4 linked regions of the Arabidopsis thaliana genome follow. The protein of the gene in region 1 interacts with the protein of each later gene in a pairwise test. Each region holds a gene or a part of one and is shown in the gene's direction. Other genes may lie near its edges. The genes, in order: AT1G07860, ENODL15, ENODL9 and CNGC5.

Region 1 (4,019 bases):
TGTTTCGGATGCAGTAAGAAATCGAGCAAACGATCCGAGACTAACAAAGATACTGTCATAAATAGAAAAATTGTCGGTGGTACTACGAGCGTTGCTAAGAGTGATAAGCGAGACGATCAGACTCAGCCCAGTTCAGGTATCGAGTGATTTTGACTAATTTCGTTATTCTCTCTTCTCCACAAGCTCTCTTTTGGATTTGTTGATTTTTTTTTATCGGATACTTATGTTTAGGTTTTTCTGTATCTGTTACATTTGGGAGAGACATTTAATGGAGATTTTTTGTGATTTTTCCCCGGAGAATTTTGATGCATGTGTACTATTCACCATATAAACGATGTTGGGTTTTTGAAATCGAGCTAGTTTTTTTTGGTTTTGTCTCCTCCATGAGGGGACAAAGTGTCAAAATTGAGCCTTTGGTATCTTGCCGTGTCTGTTTTTGGTTAAGTCACATGATAACTGGTAATCGATTTTGTTACTCGTTCCATGTGTTGTAGATTCAACAAAAGTCAGTCCATATAGAGATGTAAACAATGAAGGAGGAGTTGGTAAGGAAGATCAGTTATCTTTGGATGTGAAGGGTTTGAATCTAAATGACCAAGTCACAGGGAAGAAAGCACAGACTTTTACTTTTCAAGAACTTGCAGAAGCTACGGGAAACTTTAGATCGGATTGTTTTCTTGGTGAAGGAGGTTTCGGAAAAGTTTTCAAGGGAACTATAGAGAAATTGGATCAGGTACTTGTGACAAAGAAAAATCCTATCTGTTTTTATCAATTGGCTGTGAGATTTGTCATAGTTTTGAACGGTTGGTGAAACTTGGTTCTGCTGCTAGGTTGTTGCAATCAAGCAACTTGATCGTAATGGGGTTCAAGGAATCAGGGAATTTGTGGTTGAGGTATTGACTCTAAGTCTTGCTGACCATCCGAATCTTGTGAAGCTTATTGGGTTTTGTGCTGAGGGTGATCAGAGACTACTGGTGTACGAGTATATGCCGCAAGGATCCCTTGAAGATCATCTACATGGTATGTTGTAAGATCAAATTCCTATCCTTTGCCTCTGTATTGTTTGTCTCGCAGCTACCCCCTTTTCTCATCTAACTTTTACATTGTTGTTTTGACTGTTTCAAGTTCTCCCTTCTGGTAAAAAGCCTCTTGACTGGAACACCCGGATGAAAATAGCAGCTGGTGCAGCAAGAGGTTTAGAGTATCTGCATGACAGAATGACGCCCCCTGTGATTTACCGAGATCTTAAATGTTCGAATATTTTGCTTGGTGAAGACTATCAACCGAAACTATCTGACTTTGGGTTGGCTAAAGTAGGACCAAGCGGGGATAAAACCCATGTCTCGACAAGGGTTATGGGAACGTACGGATACTGTGCTCCTGACTACGCTATGACGGGTCAGCTCACATTTAAATCCGATATATACAGTTTTGGAGTAGTCCTTCTCGAGCTTATCACCGGAAGGAAAGCGATTGACAATACAAAAACGCGTAAAGATCAGAATTTGGTTGGATGGGTATGTTTTGTCTCTTGGCTGTGACTCATAATAATCTTTACTGAAACAAGACTCATATTTTCACGGTGCTTTTTAACAGGCACGACCATTGTTCAAAGACAGGAGGAACTTCCCAAAAATGGTTGATCCATTGCTTCAGGGACAATACCCAGTTAGAGGACTGTACCAAGCACTAGCAATATCAGCAATGTGCGTTCAAGAGCAGCCTACCATGAGACCAGTGGTATCTGATGTAGTATTGGCTCTCAACTTCTTAGCCTCTTCTAAATATGATCCGAATAGCCCTAGCAGCAGCAGCGGGAAGAACCCTTCTTTTCACAGAGACAGAGATGATGAAGAGAAAAGACCACACCTCGTCAAGGAAACTGAATGTGAAGGGTCCTCATAGGATATCCAATAAGAGAGTGGTAAAAAATCAAATCTAATTTTGGCTTCACCAAGAAATTGGGGAAAAATATAAAACCAACTCAGGTACATTTTTAACATCTATTGTGGATGTAAATCTTGACTCGGCTTCTTTGTATGTAGAATGTTTCTGTTCTGTAGAAAAGGAAAAAAAAAAAAAACCATTTTGTTTTGGGACATATATACATATATTGAACAAAAACAAATATCGTTGGTCATATATATATTTTCCCGATCAAAAAGTCTGGTAAATTAGGATTAAGTAATGTCTAAAAATTCATAATGATGAATGGCAAAAGTCGTAAATATGTAATAGAAATAGGACTATGATCACGTGATGCAACTTATCCCGCGTGAACCCGTTAAGATTTTTGCCGTTAAATAACCAAAACCTAATCCAAGAAGGCTTCACAAATCTCTTCTCTCTTATCTCTCTCTACTGGTTTTGTGATTCTTGGAAGAGAAGCTACAAGATAAGACAACAATGGCGGAAAGATCATTCTCTCAGCTCCCGATCTCTTCTTCTCACATTGGCAGAAGGACAGGAAACACCCGGAGAGGGATATTTCCGGTATCGGAGTATTGGATCCATGCAATTCCGGTGATCGTTTTTCTCTGTTTCTTCACCCTCTGGATTTTCTCCCACTCAGGTTCCTTATTTCTCCGATTCTTTAATCTAAGAAAAGATTTTCCCGAGAAAATGAGTCTTTCTGATTTTGGTTTTGGTTACAGTGAGCGTCATGAACGATGGAGAGATAATGTCGATACATCGTCTTGAGAAATCCATGGCCGTGAGAAACGAGTCTCATGTCAGTTTAGCGATTCTTGCTTCCTCTGCTGTTTCACCAGCCTCCTCAGCTCTCGTCGCCGTCGTCTCTACCAATCAGAATCTCACAACTTTTCACAACGCAACTCAATCGCAGCAAAATGCAACCCAGTCGGTGAACAAAGCAAAACAGCCACACGCAGTCTAATCTCTGAACGGAGAAAAGTTTCTTTCAGTTTCTTACTGATTTCTTTCATGAACAGATAACTTTCAGGGATTGAATTTTTCTTTTCTTTGTATTTGCTTCAGTTGAAACAATAGTTTTTGATTTAGGATTGAGAATTGTTTGTGAACGACGATACACAGAATGTTTTCAACAAATTGCATAGTCATTTGAAGAAATCTTTAGTGAGTATATATCTGAATCTTGTTAATGCTGCTGAGGATGTTCAAGCTCACTGATCTCTCCATCTGCGCAATTTCCGACCCAAATATACATCGTTTGGTTTCTCCTACTCGGCAATACTCTGCAACAATCCCTCCTCGGTGACTGCACCAAACACACAATTTTAACATCATGTTATTTCAACACCGGTTTATTATATGATCTCAGCCGGTTATCTCTGTCAATTCACTAGCCAAAACCAAACCGGTATGACTATATTTGATGCAAGTTGTTAATAATGAAGCAAAGAGAAGATGTGGACCAACCTTGTGCCATCGGAGGGGATCAGGTCGCTTGAGAACGACGACTGAATCGATCTTTCCAGGCGAATCGAGCCTCCATCGGCACCCGGGAATCCGCCTTGTCTTGTCCAAGTTGTAGTATCCAATCACTTGGCGACGTCCTTCATCATACTTAGCCGAGTTTAAGTAAAACACAAATGGTCTTTGGCACGGATGCCTCGACACTGGTCTCGTGTTAAACGCGTAACCAATGTAGTCGGCTTTGCGGAACCAGTTGAGGAATGTTCTTGAAGGCATCTCAAGTTCGCGAGGGGATATGATGCCTCGGATTATCTGGACTACGAAACCCCATGAGACCGAGATGGACCAGAACCGGTTCTGGTCGTAGCAGATGGACTGCTGGAATATGCTGGCTGGGTCAAGAACTGCTGAAGACATCAAGTGTCGTAGTGCACGTGACCGCTTCATCTTTGGGAATATCGGCTGCACCACATCGATGTGGTGCAGCGACACCAAGGGAGCCACTGGGTGTGCACCTAATAACCCCAATAAGTCCCCATAAACATCGTACTGCATACATAGAAACATTAAAATTAGACGTATTCAATCCAGATAAACCGTTCTAATCCGAACCGAAACCAAAC
Region 2 (4,553 bases), on another chromosome or scaffold:
CCTATTATCCAAGTAAAAAATAACGTGGCCATTTGTTTTATTTTGCACAAAACAATGTATATATATAATGTACGTATCTATTAAATTTGTAGCTCTAATTAATATTTACGAGTGAGAGAGTTGATTCTAATGACGTTACATACCAAACTTATGCAAAATCTCATTTAAGTCATTGAATTTCTATCTTTTTGTTATTGAAAAATTGGAAAGTGAAGATTTTAGATATTTAATTGTTAGTCATGAGTTATGGCTTATGGACGAGCCGTTAGATATGTTTCTAAGTAGTGGATACTTGAACTGAAGCTTTTAGTAGTAGTACTTTGAATGTTTTATCAGAATTGATTAGAAAGTAAACGATGATCAGCCTAATTTAAAGACGAAAATGTTGATTTATAAATAAAATGTGTGCAGTTGGTGAGGAGAGAAAAAAAAGTTTGTCGTCCAGGTTTTATGCTCATAAAGCAACACATGAGTGTTTCTACCTAACAGCCTATGTCAATACACTTACTTTTCTGGGCCATTAAGTGGACTCACCTAATTTTTTCATATTTATAACGTTACGATCTTATTTTATGCCAATCAACGTTTTTTAAAGACATGCGAATCACCAATTGTCTCATAGAATCAACTTGCTATTATTTTGTAGTTGACTAAAAAATTACTATTTCTTTCCTTAAACTTTTATTTGGCACTTGACAGTAAGTAATCAAGACCACATTGCCGATTCAAAATAATCACACCGTTCGAAATTTTCAAATTGAGTTTTCTTGTTAGAGAATTTACCCTAAAACTAAATCAAAACCAAACTGAATAAATTCCATAAACAATTGGAATTTTCTATTTTTCATTAAGACTGGAAATATAAAAACGTAATCAAAGTCATATCAAAAGACTGCAAAACCGGATTTGTAGTCTTTGAATGCCATGCATGATGATGCTCTACACATCTTTTAGGATATGGCCCAAAAATATTAATACGCAAAAGAAGCCCACAATAATGGCCCTACTTTTAAGCGACATAACACAGAGAAATGTAGAGGATTCGGTGATCTAAATTATACGCATGCATTTGCTACACAAGACTACTCTATTCCTCCCATTTTATTCTTCTGCTTGCTCTAGTAGTTGACATAAGCCATTCTTGGACACGTTATGTTATTTTATTACAAGTAAATAAGAAGTTCCAACAAGAGCATGAAGCAAGAACAAAATTACAAAAGCAAAAAAAGAAGAAGAAGATAAACCCTTTAATTCTTCCCTTGAAATTTTACTTTCTTGGATGTGTATCTTCAGGTTTAGCCGTCCCTGTGGCAGCCTTAGCTACATCAGTGGCAGTGGCTTCCGGCTTCTTCTTAGCATACATAACAGTGTACATGATGGCCCCCGAGATAGCTAATCCGGCTAGAGCCATCGTCGTGTAACTGTATGGCAAGTTACGGCGTTGATGAAGAACACCACCTGGATTACTTCCTGGCGGCCTCTTTGATGACTCAACGCCGGCAGCTTTTACTCCCTCCGAGCTCATCTTCGTCGTATCTGCTGTTTTTCTCCAGTCTTCTTCTCCGGCCATGCTTATGCCTTCTTCAGTATTTTTTTGGTTGGGACTATACTAATCATGGAAAATTCAGCTTTAGCTATAGGTTTTTGGATATAGTAAGAGTCACGAAGACACGTAGTGTCGTTGGAGTTTGTTAATGTGTTCAATAAGGGACACCTAGCTGATTCTCTTTATTTTCTGTAATAAACATATTAGGCAGGTGTCATGCCTTAGAATCGTAACTAAGCCAGGTGCCAAATTGGGTCTGGACTTTTAACTATAATCAAAATTTATGCCCAAAGTTGGAGGTTTTTGTCTTCTGCTTCTCATATGGGCTTTAGGCGATATGTCTTTTATTCATCTTTTATCAACTTCAAGGCCCAATAAACCCAGTTCCCACTAGCAAACAAAAAGTAAAGTACAAAAACAAAAAACAGAAACAGCTTAGCTTGACCAGTCTTCCTAGAAGACCGTGAAATCACTTTCTCTATCAGAGTTCAAGTTTTGTCGCTCAATCCTAACCGTTACGTTGCCTTTATCATCTCTCCAACGGATACATTAACATTTACCATTTTTTCCTTTTAATTTTTCGTAATTCCTAAACGGCTAGTTTCCAAGTCCTCTACCTTTATATAAACCACACAAGATCCACACTCTCTCCATCCTCAACACACTTTAAAACACATTACACACTCTAATACTTTTAAGGTTTTAGATTCTAATCAATGGCTTCTTCTTCTCTTTTGGTCACCATCTTCCTCTGCATCTCTGTCTTCTTCTTTTCGTCCGTGAATGCAAATGAGGTTACCGTCGGTGGAAAATCCGGTGACTGGAAGATCCCTCCTTCCTCTTCTTTCTCCTTTAACGAATGGGCTCAAAAGGCTCGCTTCAAAGTCGGCGACTTTATCGGTAAATCCATAATTTTCAACTTTTTTTTTTCAATTAGACATTTTGTGTGATCTTCAATATACTCTGTTTCTGACATCGTCACATGTTTATTACAGTATTCAAGTACGAAGCCGGTAAAGACTCGGTTTTGCAAGTGACACGAGAAGCATACGAGAAATGCAACACCACTAGCCCTAAAGCCAGCTACACCGACGGGAACACAAAGGTGAAGCTTGACCAAGCTGGTCCGGTCTACTTCGTCAGTGGAACAGAGGGTCATTGTCAAAAGGGTCAGAAGCTACGCCTAGTCGTCATCACTCCTCGTAACTCTGCTTTCTCTCCAGGTCCTTCGCCATCTGAGTTCGACGGTCCAGCCGTAGCTCCTACTAGTGGTGCCGCTAAGCTCGCCGGCGGATTTAGTGTCGTATTTGGGCTTGTTCTTGGATTATGGGCCTTCTTCTTTTAAAAGACAATTAGTCTTAATTCTATTTATTAATTTTGGAATATAAAGTAGAAATCTTTGTTATTTACTACATTAAATTTATTTTAATCTAAATTGTTCTTCCTCTTTTTCAATTCTGGATAAATTAGTTGGATCTATCAACAATCAACAAAGAAAACAAAACAAAAGTGAATGAGAATTTTGAATTTAGTACCCAAAAAGGTAATTTACAGCAACACAAAGAAACCTGGACTGTCGTGAAAAGAGGCCTAAAAATGGGCCTGAATTGGGCCTAAAGATATTTTGGGAGGGAAGCAAAACGGTAAGGATCGAGTGGAGCGAGTCTGATTTTATCCTCTCGGCAAGTTTTTTATTATTCTGCTTCGAAAATTCTTTCATCAAAAATCTCCGGTTCACCGAAATCGACTCCCTCGCGCTCTTTTCAGCCGGTGAACGGAGACGAATCAAAATGCTCATAGCTATTCAGCACGTGTTTGTGTTTTGTTAGTTATATCTGCGCCACTTGAAATGTGATGAATCATCATCGTTAATCTCTGTTTTCGTTTCAATTTTTGCCGGAGAATTGAATTGTTTTGCTTGCTTGGCTTATCTCTAGAATGGTCGCGTTACTCTGCTCTGCGAGTTTGTGTGGTGATATATCAGTTGGTGATGCTTGTCTTGTTAGTAACATCAAAGCAAAATGTCGCGATAATTTGGTTACTGGAGGATTAAAGTTCCACGCTTTGAAGATTGGGTCTCGGAAGAAACACTGGAGAAGGAAGAGTATGAGATGTAGTGTAGTCTCCATGAAAAGTTCTGACTTTTCGGGTTCTATGATAAGAAAGAGCTCAAAACCTGATTTGTCATCGAGTGAAGAAGTAACGAGGGGTTTAAAGTCGTTTCCTGATACTGATTCTTCATTTTCGTATTTCAAATCAGTGGCTGGGAATTTGAATTTAGTTCACACTACTGAGACTTGTAACTACATGCTTGAAGCTTTGAGGGTTGATGGTAAACTTGAGGAAATGGCTTATGTGTTTGATTTGATGCAGAAAAGAATCATAAAGAGGGATACTAATACTTACTTGACTATCTTCAAGAGTCTTTCTGTGAAAGGTGGATTGAAGCAAGCACCTTATGCACTTCGGAAGATGAGAGAATTTGGTTTTGTGTTGAATGCATATTCATACAATGGGTTGATTCATCTTCTGCTTAAGTCTAGGTTTTGCACAGAGGCAATGGAGGTTTATAGAAGAATGATCTTGGAAGGTTTTAGACCTAGTTTGCAGACTTACTCTTCACTTATGGTAGGTTTGGGGAAAAGAAGGGATATTGATTCTGTGATGGGTTTACTTAAAGAGATGGAGACTTTGGGGTTAAAGCCGAATGTTTACACCTTTACGATATGTATTCGGGTGCTTGGTAGGGCAGGGAAGATTAATGAAGCATATGAAATACTGAAGCGGATGGATGATGAAGGATGTGGACCTGATGTAGTTACTTACACTGTTCTTATTGATGCTCTGTGTACTGCTAGGAAGCTCGATTGTGCGAAGGAGGTTTTCGAAAAGATGAAAACAGGAAGACACAAACCAGATCGTGTAACTTACATTACTTTGCTGGACAGGTTTAGTGATAACAGAGATCTGGATTCAGTGAAGCAGTTTTGGAGTGAAATGGAGAAGG
Region 3 (4,521 bases), on another chromosome or scaffold:
CGCTAAAAGAAAAGGTTAGATCAATACTCAAATCGTTTCAAACGCAACTAATTTATATTTTTTATCATCAAAATATTATTTATAGGGAAATTATGAACGCAATGCAAAACGTAAAAAAAAAATTGCGTTTGCATTTGCAGTTTATGAATCAATTTAGGTTAAATCATTAAATATTTACACTCCCTAATATAATTGTCAAACAAAAATAAAAAAGATGTGGTGAATGTGATATTCAAAACGGTGTGTTTTGTTATCTTGCGCAGGAGGTAGTATGCACGTGTGTTGCAAGAGAAACCCTAAGATCAAGAACAAGATCGGACTAAAGACAAAGTTTGCACCGAGAAGGTACGGTGACCTGAACATAGTCTACGATGTTCTGCAATCATTCGACAGCAACTACTTAGCCCAAGTGACCATCGACAATGATAATCCTCTCGGGCGGTTAGACCGTTGGAACCTGACTTTTGAATGGATGCGAGGAGAGTTTATAAACACTATGCGAGGAGCTTACACTCATAAGAAAGATCCATCGGAATGCCTTTATAGCAAAGCTGGACAGTATTACAAAGACTTAGATTTCTCCCAGGTCATGAATTGTCAGAGAAAACCAGCCATTTCCGATTTGCCTCCTGAGAAGAAGGAAGATAACATGACAGGAAAGTTACCTTTCTGTTGCAAAAACGGAACTCTCTTGCCACCTATTATGGATCCTTCGAAATCTAGATCTATGTTTCAATTGCAGGTAAATCATCTCTTTCGTTTAAAATATGTTATGAGATCGTAGAAATCTTCGGGTTTTGAAGTTTTTGTTTTCTCTCAATTTGTTAGGTTTTCAAGTTGCCTCCTGACCTAAACAGAACAGCTCTATACCCACCTCAGCATTGGAAAATCGACGGTGTTCTCAATCCTCAGTACAAATGCGGGCCACCGGTTCGTGTTGACCCGTCTCAATTCCCTGATCCTAGCGGTCTACTGGCTGTAACCTACGCCATCTCCAGCTGGCAAGTGGTCTGCAACATAACCAAGCCTAAAGCCCAAGCCTCAAGATGTTGTGTCTCTTTCTCTGCATTTTACAACAACTCTGCAGTTCCTTGCAACACTTGTGCTTGCGGATGCAATGACATCGATACCGACACTTGCAATGCTAACAGTAACCCGCTCCTCCTCCCTCCTGACGCTCTCCTTGTTCCGTTCGATAACCGAACCTTAAAAGCTAAAGCTTGGGCTAAACAAAATCACATGCCAGTACCAAAGAAACTTCCTTGTCCAGATAACTGCGGAGTCAGCATTAACTGGCACGTTAGCACGGATTACAAAAATGGTTGGACCGCAAGGTTAACCGTTTTTAATTGGAGAGATTTCGCGTTTGAGGATTGGTTTGTGGCGATTGATATGGGAAAGGCAGGTCCAGGATATGAAAACGTTTACTCCTTTAATGGAACACGTGTTCCACCAAGCAATCGAACCGTTATCTTCCAAGGCTTGCCTGGTATGAACTATCTTGTAGGTCAAGTTAATGGAACAAATCCATTAAGAGACCCTCCCGTGCCCGGAAAGCAACAATCTGTCATCTCCTTCACCAAGAAAAACATCAAAGGACTGAATATTCCCGAAGGCGACGGTTTCCCAACAAAGCTTTTCTTCAATGGAGAAGAATGTGCGCTTCCAAAACATTTCCCTAAGAAGAGCTCAGGGCATAGACGCGGTATCAGTGTCTCAATGTCCTTTGTTTTCGCAACAATCGCGGCTTTTGCACTAATGATGGATTAATTACTGAGGAGATAACTATACTTACCATTCTTGATCAGTTTTTTTGATCTTCAAATTCTTAAGATTGGTGTTTTGATGATGTTGCTGAACAGAGGAAGGATCAAAAGGAGCAGATTGTTATATGATTGATCTAAGTTGGAAAAATATTGACAATGTTGTATTAATACTTTTGTTTGGTCTATAAAAGTATTAAAGTGTATGTTGTTCTCTAGTAATCCCAAAATCTCAGATTAGTGTTGGCCTTTTTTTTGGCATGAAGAAGATCTTAGTACTTTGATTTGATGTTTTTGTGAAATCTCTCTTCGTTCTTGAAGATCTTTATCCGAAAAGTAATAATAAAATATAACACAAAGATTCTGAAGCAAAGAACAAAAGCCATTGACAGAAGAAGCAAGTCACATGAGATTCCAAAACTGAAACACTTCTGGCATTTATGCTTTGCTTAGAATTTGAAAAAAGACAATAAAAAGCTTCTCTGCAACATTTCCTCAAAATCAAAAAGCATCACCTTTATATAAACCCATTTGCCTTTCATCATCTCATATCAAACCCTATACCACACTAGATTCACCTTCACCTTTCTAAAATCTCTGTTATTTAGCTTACGAAATGGCACGAAACCTAAAGAGCATGATGCTTTGTGGGTTTGGTCTCTTGTGTTTTCTTATGATCGTTGACCGAGCCTACGCTAGAGAGTTTACGGTCGGTGGTGCAACAGGTTGGACCGTCCCTTCTGGTTCTCAAGTGTACAGTCAATGGGCAGAACAGAGCAGATTCCAAATTGGTGACTCTCTGTGTAAGTTTTTCACACTGTATTGATACTATTTGATTCGTTAACTGCAATCTTAGTTTCTTCGCATATGACACAAATTTATACAATGCAGTGTTCGTCTACCAATCAAACCAAGATTCAGTGCTCCAAGTCACAAGAGACGCTTACGACAGCTGCAACACGGACTCACCAACCGCTAAATTCGCCGATGGCAAAACTTCTGTCACGCTGAACCACTCTGGGCCATACTATTTCATTAGTGGAAACAAAGACAACTGCAAGAAAAACGAGAAGCTTGTGGTCATCGTCATGGCTGATAGAAGCGGCAACAAAAACACCGCATCATCACCGCCGTCCCCAGCCCCAGCTCCCTCAGGAGAATCCGCTCCTTCTCCACCTGTCTCGGGAACCTTTGAGATGACCCCAGCACCGACGCCTACTACTTCTGAAGACACTCCAAACAGCGCAGCTTCTTCCTTATCATTTGTCGCTGCTCTTCTTGGGGCTGCTCTAGCTTCCACTCTATTCCTACACTAAGAAGTTTCTCTTTTGTCTTCCCTTTTCATTCTGTATCGAGTCTTTTCCCTTTCCCTCTTCATCCAAGTTTGTGTCAATTGGTGTTTGTTGTTTGATTTTTTACCCCATTTGTTTTTCATGTATATGAATAAAAGTTCTACTCGTGTGTATTTTACTGATGTCATATGTATATAGTAATGGAAGGATAAGAAAAACCAGGCGGATTTTAATAGAACAAGAACCATAAAGAAACTAAGATTGTGTCAAACAAAAATTCTCTCTTTTTTTGAGTTTTTCTGTGTAGATCAGCTATTCAAAGTAAACAGTCTGAGGTTCTTCTATGGTTTTATATATTAATGGAAAATTCTAACCTCCAGTGGACGATCAAATGTTTTTCCCAAGTTCGACCTTTTTTACCAGTCTTACTGTATTGTGAAAAATCGAATCTAGTATTCCGGCAACCTGAAAAAATCCACATGTAAAATCAGAAATGACCATTGAATCCATGCGGGTATGAAGACGCAAGGTAACTGAGAAATTACTAACCGTGAAAACACCACCAATAATGGCACACAGATTTGTGATGAAGTGTGAGAAGGACTTCGGGTTTTCGGTTATTAAGATCTGCAAAAACAGACCAACCAAGGAGTAATTATAAAGAGGAAAGTATATATATTGTGACATTTTCGAGAGATAATCTCTTGTTTGTGTAAATGAGGACTGAACCTGCATAGGAGAGAGCTCAAAGTGAAACTTCGCAACGGGTAAGTAGTAAGTCTGAGCCACGCTGCTGTGAGCGGTGTATTCATATTCCTCTATCAGTGAATGTTCTTGACCGGATCTTCTTGTAATGACCTCTGTTTTGACTGTTTGAAGGTAGTGTTCGATCTGTAGAAAGCATGTTGAAAACAGTTAGATGAGAGCCAGTAAAAGAAAATTTGACGATTGTTCAAGACTCTAAATTCCTATGAAGGTTTCTGGGACTTACAGTGACATTGGCACCAAACTCATGTTGATTTATGAATGCCTTTCCATCCAGCCTGTCATGGCTTAGGCCAAGATATGGCAACAATCGCTTCATATCGGTCAGCAGCCTAGGAGAAATCATCCTCCCAAACGAAAAATGAGAAACAACATGCGACATGTTCATTTGAGAAGAATCAAATGAATGAGCTCCTGAATGAGCTGAGATCACGAGATTTCCTGGAACCTGAAACATACAAAAGACAAATTTCAGTACATGCCACAAATCAATTACAGGACATTCATTCAGTGTTCACTTTTCAGTCCGAGGTTTACCTTCTTTACACGTACATAACCTTCAACTCTACAACCTCCTGTAACTGGTCCCTTTTTAAGATGTTTTACAGTATCATTGGATTTTCCATCCAAAGCCACCTTGTGAGTCTCCGGGTGGATAGGTGCGACCAGTCCCTCCACCATCTGGAAGAAAGAAAATCTTA
Region 4 (7,616 bases), on another chromosome or scaffold:
CCTTTAAACGCTCATATCATGAACAAGGGAAGCCTGAACACAGCATGGAGTTTGCTTCTTCTTCTTCCATTAGGCCTTTTGGTTTAGTCTTGTGAATTACCTCTAGCCAATTCGGTTCGATTTCGGTTTGTATTTTCCGGTTTACTTGTTACTTTGGCTTGTGATTTAGTCTTGTTTCTTAGCCAATTCGGTTCGATTTCGGTTTGTAAGTTTACTTGTTTCTTTGCATTACTCTGTCTGAGTGTTTAATACAATGTTAGTTTTGGTTAATATCCTAAATTCAAATTGGAAAGAAAACATTAAAGGCCGGATCGGTTATACAACTGTGGAATTTGGAAACAAATGTTATTATAAGTGGGCCTAATGGGAACTTCTGCCCATTAAAGGCCCATTATTTGAACTTATTAGCTTTAAGCTTGTCCACGATTTACATTAGCTATCTTCTTCGTCTCCGGGACTGAGACCGCTCTCTCTTCCTTATCCTCCATCTTCCAATGGTTTAATCCAGCAACTGTCGACGATGTCGATAACGTACTCCGCTATTTCCTGTAAGTTTCTTCCTCACTGTGTGTCGAATCCGTCCTCAATGCTCAATTTTATCCATTTATTGTGAGACTGTGATTGATTTTGGTTTCCGTTGTTTTATCCAGCTAGTACAGTTTCTGGGTTTTCACCAAAAAGTGTACCTTTTGCTATTCATAGCGTAACCAGGAGGCAATTTCTTAATCCCAACACGTTTTATAGATTTGGGTTCTCTCCTTCTCTTCAGGTCAGATTCCTTTACTAGTCAGTATCATCCAATTCTCCAGACTCTGCTTCGTTGTTGTTTTGGTTCTTAGAATTAGACCACACTTCGTTGCTTCCCTTTGAAGTAGAGAGTCAATGTTTACTGTTATGTGCGGATATGTTGTGCAGGGAAGTAGCATTGAGTTTAGCCTTCAGTTGAATTCAAGAGTTGTGCTTAGTAAAGAGCGTCGATCTCTGCCATTAGTTGTGAGAAATGATCGTCCTCAGAATGAAGACTTACCTAAGCAGTACACAAGGCGAGAGAAGAAACCTTTCCCAGTCCCTATTGTGGACCTGAGACGAGCTGCGAGGGAGAGAGTCAAGAACAACAAAGACAAACCTAAGAGACCTCTACCTCCGCCTAAAAATGGTATGGTTGTGAAGAGCCTTGTGCCTCTTGCTTATAAAGTATACAATGCAAGAATCAGATTGATCAACAATCTCCACCGGCTTATGAAAGTTGTTCGTGTTAATGCTTGTGGGTAAAAATTCTCTTCTTCTTCTTGTTTCATTTTTGGTCTGTTTTGAGTATGGCCTTTTTTTGATGTTGTATGATTGGTCTCTTAGGTGGTGCAATGAGATTCATGTTGGACCTTATGGGCATCCATTTAAGTCGTGTAAAGGTCCCAATACTTCCCAAAGGAAAGGTCTTCATGAATGGACTAACTCGGTTATTGAGGACGTTATTGTTCCTCTTGAAGCCTATCACCTTTTTGACCGCCTTGGCAAGCGTATCCGTCATGATGAAAGATTCTCGATTCCCCGAGTTCCTGCTGTAGTTGAGCTCTGCATTCAGGGCGGCGTTGAAATACCCGAATTTCCAGCAAAAAGGAGAAGAAAACCGATTATCCGCATTGGCAAAAGCGAGTTTGTTGATGCAGATGAAACTGAATTGCCTGATCCAGAGCCTCAGCCTCCTCCAGTGCCATTGTTAACTGAGTTACCTGTCTCAGAGATCACTCCCCCATCTAGCGAAGAAGAAACAGTCTCCTTAGCCGAAGAAACATTACAGGCCTGGGAAGAAATGAGAGCAGGAGCCAAAAAGCTGATGAGGATGTACAGGGTTAGGGTCTGTGGGTACTGTCCAGAGGTTCACGTAGGTCCAACGGGACACAAGGCCCAGAACTGTGGTGCATTCAAGCACCAACAGCGGAATGGCCAGCATGGTTGGCAATCTGCAGTACTTGACGACTTGATACCGCCAAGATATGTTTGGCATGTTCCTGATGTGAATGGGCCACCGATGCAGCGAGAGCTACGAAGCTTCTACGGGCAAGCACCTGCTGTTGTGGAGATATGTGCTCAGGCTGGCGCTGTTGTACCTGAGCATTATAGAGCTACAATGAGACTGGAGGTTGGAATTCCTTCGAGTGTGAAAGAAGCTGAGATGGTTGTTTGATATGTAGAAGACCTTGTAAACTTCTTCTTGTACAAAATCCTCCATTCCACCTTGTGTTGTATAATAATATCACAGCCCAGGTCTTTTTGACTTTTGAAGGACAAAAAAAACAATCCACGCTAATCCTATTATCAAGGGTAAAAATGTCATTTGCTTCGTTTTCATCTTTTCTCGTTGCCATTTTCTTTTTTTTGTCTGTGTCAAGTCGATACCACTTGTCTGGTAGCTTTATACCCACTTTCATCTTTTTCATGTTCGTAGTTGTTCCTCTGGTTATCCTCATCAACGGGACCCTTGAAACCGTGTAGCCATGTAAGCCTTTGTCTTTGTCTCTTTCTCTTGCTTCAGCAAGTTCACGTCTGCTCTATTTCTAATTTTGTTCTAAGATTCAATTCTCCTTTTTTCTATGCGAGAAATTTAAGATTGGTTCTCTAGCTCTACCTCTTTAAATTTGTTACTATGTGTCGGTGTCCATCATTCATCAAATTTTTTCCTTTTTTATCCATTTGAGTTGATGTAATGATGTTGCTTCGCTTCATACTGGTCAGAGTTAGTCTAATCTTCATTTTAGCACAACTTGACAACTTCATATGGTTATGACTTATTTTTACTTGGGTCTTTCAAAGGTTAAGTATTTTAGTCTTATTTTGGGATGATGCAGCTTGCTTAATGATTAGAGTCTTAAAGCTGTGCTCTTTCTTCATCGATTTGAGCAAGTGATCTTGGAAGGCTCTTGAGTTCTGAATTCCTTGTAAGCAATCATGGCAGGGAAAAGAGAAAACTTTGTGAGGTTAGTGCTGCATCCTTTTGTTTTAATACAAAGATCTGAAGTTTGAATGTGAGAAACGTATTGATTTGGCAATGGTTGTTTCTGATTTGTTTCCTTATGAAAGTATAGTGTGATTGTACTGAACTATAGCTTGTTGGTGCATAGTAATCTGAAAGTGGTGTTGTTCATACCTTTTATAGGGTGGATGATTTGGACTCTAGGTTACCATCATCATCTGTAGCCTTCCAACAGAACTACGCCTCCAATTTCAGTGGACAACTTCATCCTATTCATGCAAGCAATGAAACTTCTAGATCCTTCAAGAAAGGTATCCAGAAGGGTTCCAAAGGGCTTAAGTCGATCGGACGTTCACTTGGTTTCGGTGTTTATCGAGCAGTGTTCCCAGAAGACCTTAAAGTATCTGAAAAGAAGATATTTGATCCTCAGGATAAATTCCTTTTGTATTGCAATAAATTATTCGTTGCGTCATGTATTCTTTCAGTGTTTGTGGACCCTTTTTTCTTCTATCTTCCTGTGATTAATGCTGAGTCCAAGTGCCTGGGTATTGACAGAAAACTGGCTATCACAGCAAGTACATTGCGGACTTTTATCGATGTGTTTTATCTCGCTCACATGGCTCTCCAGCTTAGGACTGCTTATATTGCACCTTCATCACGGGTCTTTGGGCGAGGTGAACTCGTGATTGATCCTGCACAGATAGCAAAGAGATATCTACAACGTTGGTTTATTATTGACTTTCTCTCAGTACTTCCTCTCCCTCAGGTTGGTTAATATAAGTTTTGATCATTTCAGTAAATTGTGTGTTGGAAAACATCATTGCTTAATTTGTTGAAAGGGTGCAGTAGCCAGTAGTTGGTGATCAGACATCTCTGTCAAGCGCTTTCTAGTTCTAGATTTACAGTACTCATTTTGTGTATGTGCAGATTGTAGTTTGGAGGTTCTTGCAAAGTTCAAATGGGTCGGATGTATTGGCTACAAAGCAGGCCTTGCTTTTCATTGTTTTGGTCCAGTATATACCGCGATTCCTACGTGTCTTACCCTTGACGTCAGAATTGAAAAGGACAGCAGGTGTCTTTGCTGAAACGGCTTGGGCTGGTGCCGCTTATTATCTGCTTTTATATATGCTTGCAAGTCATGTGAGTTTATATACCTTTTTCATTTTAAGACGTTGCTTGTACTATTCAATGCTTGCCCATTCACCATGAGTTATGTGACTGTGGCACCAAAAGTGCAAAACAAGGAAATATTTGCATATCCGTTTCACTGTTATGAACTTATGTTCAAATGTTTAGTTTCCTAAGACATGTAAAGGAGCTTATTGAGCTTTCTGGTTAAGCCGTCTATGCTTACCTTTGATGTTCTATGCAACCTTTCGTTTTATCTTAGTTGATGTTCATGCCTCATGGGATCACAAATGTCAAGTTTCTTATGACGAGCAACTCTGATTGTATAGCTTATTTACTCTTCAATAATAGTATTGACTTGGTAAGTGCTATTTTGATTGAGCCACTGTTTCGTATCTTGCAGATAGTTGGAGCTTTTTGGTACCTTTTAGCCTTAGAACGTAACGACGCCTGCTGGCAGGAGGCCTGTATAGATGCAGGGAATTGCAGCACAGATTTCTTGTACTGTGGCAATCAAAACATGGACGGCTATGCTGTTTGGAACAGAGCCAAGGAATCTGTTCTTAAGTCCAAGTGCCGAGCTGACCTCGATGATAATAATCCTCCATTTGACTTTGGGATTTATACACAGGCTTTATCGTCTGGAATTGTCTCGTCCCAAAACTTCATCGTAAAATATTGTTATTGTTTGTGGTGGGGCCTTCAGAACTTGAGGTAACCATGTTCTATCACTATTCAGTCGAAAGACTATTGCTTTGATCTTACCAATTCTCACTAAACTCGGCTCCTTTATCAAAGTTATGCGTCTATGAGTTTCAGATATTCATATAGTACTTCTCATTGTTGCACCACAGTACACTTGGACAAGGGCTTGAAACCAGTACATACCCAATGGAGATTATATTTTCCATATCTCTCGCCATTTCTGGGTTGATCCTCTTTGCTCTTCTCATTGGAAACATGCAGGTGAGTAATTATGGTGCAACCTTAGCTACTTTCGTGATCATTAGAAATTTCTTGTAAGCTCTTTCAATGGAAGCATCATGCATAATTTGTTTCCTCTGCATAATGACTATCTAACAACATTTTGCAATCTTGGGACAGACATATCTCCAATCTCTTACCATCCGGCTTGAAGAAATGAGAGTAAAGAGGCGTGATTCAGAACAATGGATGCATCACAGAATGTTACCACAAGATCTTAGGGAGCGTGTGAGGCGCTATGACCAGTATAAATGGTTGGAGACACGTGGTGTAGATGAAGAGTATCTCGTTCAGAATCTTCCCAAGGATCTCCGGAGAGACATCAAGCGGCATCTCTGTCTGGCTTTAGTGCGAAGGGTAAGTTCTCCCCGCTGTTCCTTATTCAAGCTTCTCACATAGATCACACACCCTTTTGAACATCTAGGACCCATTGAATAACAGTCGGCTCATAACTAAAACGAGCTCTTGACCATCGACAAGCTAGCTTGGTTCATGATACGTTTTTACCATAATATTAGGTTCCATTGTTTAAGAGCATGGACGACAAGCTGCTGGATGCGATCTGTATGCGGCTGAAACCATGCTTGTTCACAGAGAGTACCTACTTAGTGCGGGAAGGAGATCCTGTAGACGAGATGCTATTCATAATACGTGGTCGCCTCGAGAGTGTGACAACAGATGGAGGCAGGAGCGGTTTCTTCAACCGCAGTCTCCTGAAAGAAGGAGAATTCTGCGGGGAAGAGCTTCTGACATGGGCATTGGATCCAAAATCAGGTGTAAATCTCCCGTCTTCCACGAGGACCGTGAAAGCTCTGACAGAAGTAGAGGCGTTTGCGCTGACCTCAGAGGAGCTGAAGTTTGTAGCAAGCCAGTTCCGGCGCTTACATAGCAGGCAAGTGCAGCACACATTCAGGTTTTACTCTCACCAATGGAGGACTTGGGCTGCTTGTTTCATCCAGGCTGCCTGGCGTAGATACTGCAAGAGGAAGAAAATGGAAGAGGCAGAAGCCGAGGCCGCGGCTGTGTCCAGCTCAACCGCTGGACCTTCATACTCCATTGGGGCTGCATTTCTTGCCACTAAGTTTGCGGCTAATGCGCTTCGCACCATTCACAGGAACCGGAACACAAAGATTAGGGATTTGGTGAAGCTGCAGAAGCCTCCTGAGCCTGATTTCACTGCTGACTGATGATTGAGCAGCTTGTAGACATTATTGTTTATAATTTATGGGAATCATTACGGTTGAGATAAACAAATATTGCTTGGCTTTAAAGCTGCTTGTGCTGTCTGTAAAATTAATATATGAAGTGTAGAAACAAAGAGATTATAGCCGTTGGATTTAATAAATGTACGGTTAGGATCATATGCCGGTTAAAGAATGGGTCTATTGGGCCTTTTAATGAAGCCCACAATATATTCACGGTGACATGCTCCGGTCCCAAGGTAGAGAGAAGTTGCGATTGATTTCGGTGAAAGAATTAAGAATCGATCGGACTTGGAGAAGAGAAGAGAAGATGGTTGGCGCGAATCTGAAAGCGGAGACGATGGCTCTAATGGACAAGAGAACAGCCATGGAGACGGAGATGAACTCTATTGTCGAACGTCTCTGCAATCCCGGTGGTCCTGGTCTCTCCGGCAATCTCATCGACTCGGAGGTACTGTATCTGCGTCCTCACTCTTCTCTAATCTTAACCGAAAATTCTGCTTAATTTTCTCCTTTGATTCGTTTGCTTATGGCAGGGATTTCCTCGGGAAGATATTGACATTCCCATGGTGAGAACTGAGCGCCGTCGTCTTGCTGGTGATTTCTCTTTTCTTGTGCTGAATTAGTCCATAGTTAGGGTGAGACTACAACTCCAAGGTTAGTTTAAACTTAGGAAACATAGCAGAATCATACTGATTATATGTAGTTTAGGTTTTTGTCTTGGCTAGTTGGCTTGAGGTTTATTCATAGTTTTGTGAGCTGGAAATGAGATTGAAAGGAATCAAGCTTGATGTGTAGCTTCTACAGTGAACCAGTTGTTAAGTTTTTCCCTACTTCTTCCGTTTTGAGTTGGTTTATTTATCTGAAATAGTTTCTACACCCACACAGAGTTAAGGAGTGAGCACGGGGAGATAACGGAAAAGATAAATGTGAACATTCAAATTCTTCATTCAGTGAGGCCTACATCTAGAGCTTCATCCACAAAAGATTCAGGTATGACTGTACAGGAAGAAGCTCCAAATTTCAGCTTGGAATCTTTGATTGGCTTAATCATCTTTTCTGATTCTGGTCCTTTTTCTTAAGGCTATGATTAATAGAAGTTCATTTTATAGTTTGAAACCATATGCACGACGTGGGTGGATACAAAGCTTATGAATAGATAATGATGCAGGTCCAGAAGAAACAAGCTTGTCAGGTGCTGCAGTAAATTCTTTATCTGCCTCCATGCAGACATCTGGCTTCAGTGTTACTTCCGGTCCCATGGATGTGGATGTGGTTACTAGTATTCCCTTTGCAATGGTTGATGAGATAAACGAGTCATCTCCAGCAGC

The links.
Region 2: the proteins of AT1G07860 (region 1) and ENODL15 interact in a protein complementation assay, tested with the Arabidopsis thaliana proteins (one large-scale study listed by BioGRID).
Region 3: the proteins of AT1G07860 (region 1) and ENODL9 interact in a protein complementation assay, tested with the Arabidopsis thaliana proteins (one large-scale study listed by BioGRID).
Region 4: the proteins of AT1G07860 (region 1) and CNGC5 interact in a protein complementation assay, tested with the Arabidopsis thaliana proteins (one large-scale study listed by BioGRID).

Annotation. Positions count from the first base shown.
Region 1 is NC_003070.9:2,427,819-2,431,837, reverse strand, and holds AT1G07860 (Serine/Threonine-kinase RLCKVII protein), read left to right. Parts: upstream 1-2,406; coding exon 2,407-2,572; intron 2,573-2,612; exon of another isoform or gene 2,613-2,654; coding exon 2,655-2,896; 3' UTR 2,897-2,927; downstream 2,928-4,019. Other genes in the region: AT1G07870 (Protein kinase superfamily protein), read left to right, coding at 1-136, 495-733, 831-1,020, 1,126-1,517, 1,597-1,895, 2,460-2,572, 2,655-2,896; AT1G07850 (transferring glycosyl group transferase (DUF604)), read right to left, coding at 3,119-3,238, 3,400-3,945.
Region 2 is NC_003075.7:15,399,536-15,404,088, forward strand, and holds ENODL15 (early nodulin-like protein 15), read left to right. Parts: upstream 1-2,104; 5' UTR 2,105-2,262; coding exon 2,263-2,446; intron 2,447-2,541; coding exon 2,542-2,891; 3' UTR 2,892-3,094; downstream 3,095-4,553. Other genes in the region: AT4G31830 (uncharacterized protein), read right to left, coding at 1,268-1,570; PGR3 (proton gradient regulation 3), read left to right, coding at 3,485-4,553. UniProt on the Arabidopsis thaliana protein: May act as a carbohydrate transporter. Required, together with ENODL11, ENODL12, ENODL13, ENODL14 and ENODL15, for male-female communication and pollen tube reception and burst at the synergid cell surface of the female gametophyte.
Region 3 is NC_003074.8:7,185,312-7,189,832, reverse strand, and holds ENODL9 (early nodulin-like protein 9), read left to right. Parts: upstream 1-2,311; 5' UTR 2,312-2,379; coding exon 2,380-2,566; intron 2,567-2,654; coding exon 2,655-3,079; 3' UTR 3,080-3,311; downstream 3,312-4,521. Other genes in the region: COBL10 (COBRA-like protein 10 precursor), read left to right, coding at 1-14, 264-742, 829-1,770; PDIL5-3 (PDI-like 5-3), read right to left, coding at 3,443-3,520, 3,605-3,682, 3,785-3,946, 4,047-4,268, 4,358-4,501. UniProt on the Arabidopsis thaliana protein: May act as a carbohydrate transporter. Mainly required for reproductive functions.
Region 4 is NC_003076.8:23,454,170-23,461,785, forward strand, and holds CNGC5 (cyclic nucleotide gated channel 5), read left to right. Parts: upstream 1-2,395; 5' UTR 2,396-2,497; exon of another isoform or gene 2,498-2,728; intron 2,729-2,846; 5' UTR 2,847-2,946; coding exon 2,947-2,975; intron 2,976-3,154; coding exon 3,155-3,737; intron 3,738-3,898; coding exon 3,899-4,111; intron 4,112-4,502; coding exon 4,503-4,813; intron 4,814-4,953; coding exon 4,954-5,065; intron 5,066-5,203; coding exon 5,204-5,440; intron 5,441-5,601; coding exon 5,602-6,270; 3' UTR 6,271-6,452; downstream 6,453-7,616. Other genes in the region: ENODL10 (early nodulin-like protein 10), read left to right, coding at 1-87; APO2 (APO RNA-binding protein (DUF794)), read left to right, coding at 521-548, 651-769, 916-1,268, 1,354-2,185; AT5G57950 (26S proteasome regulatory subunit), read left to right, coding at 6,509-6,736, 6,822-6,882, 7,174-7,278, 7,457-7,616. UniProt on the Arabidopsis thaliana protein: Probable cyclic nucleotide-gated ion channel.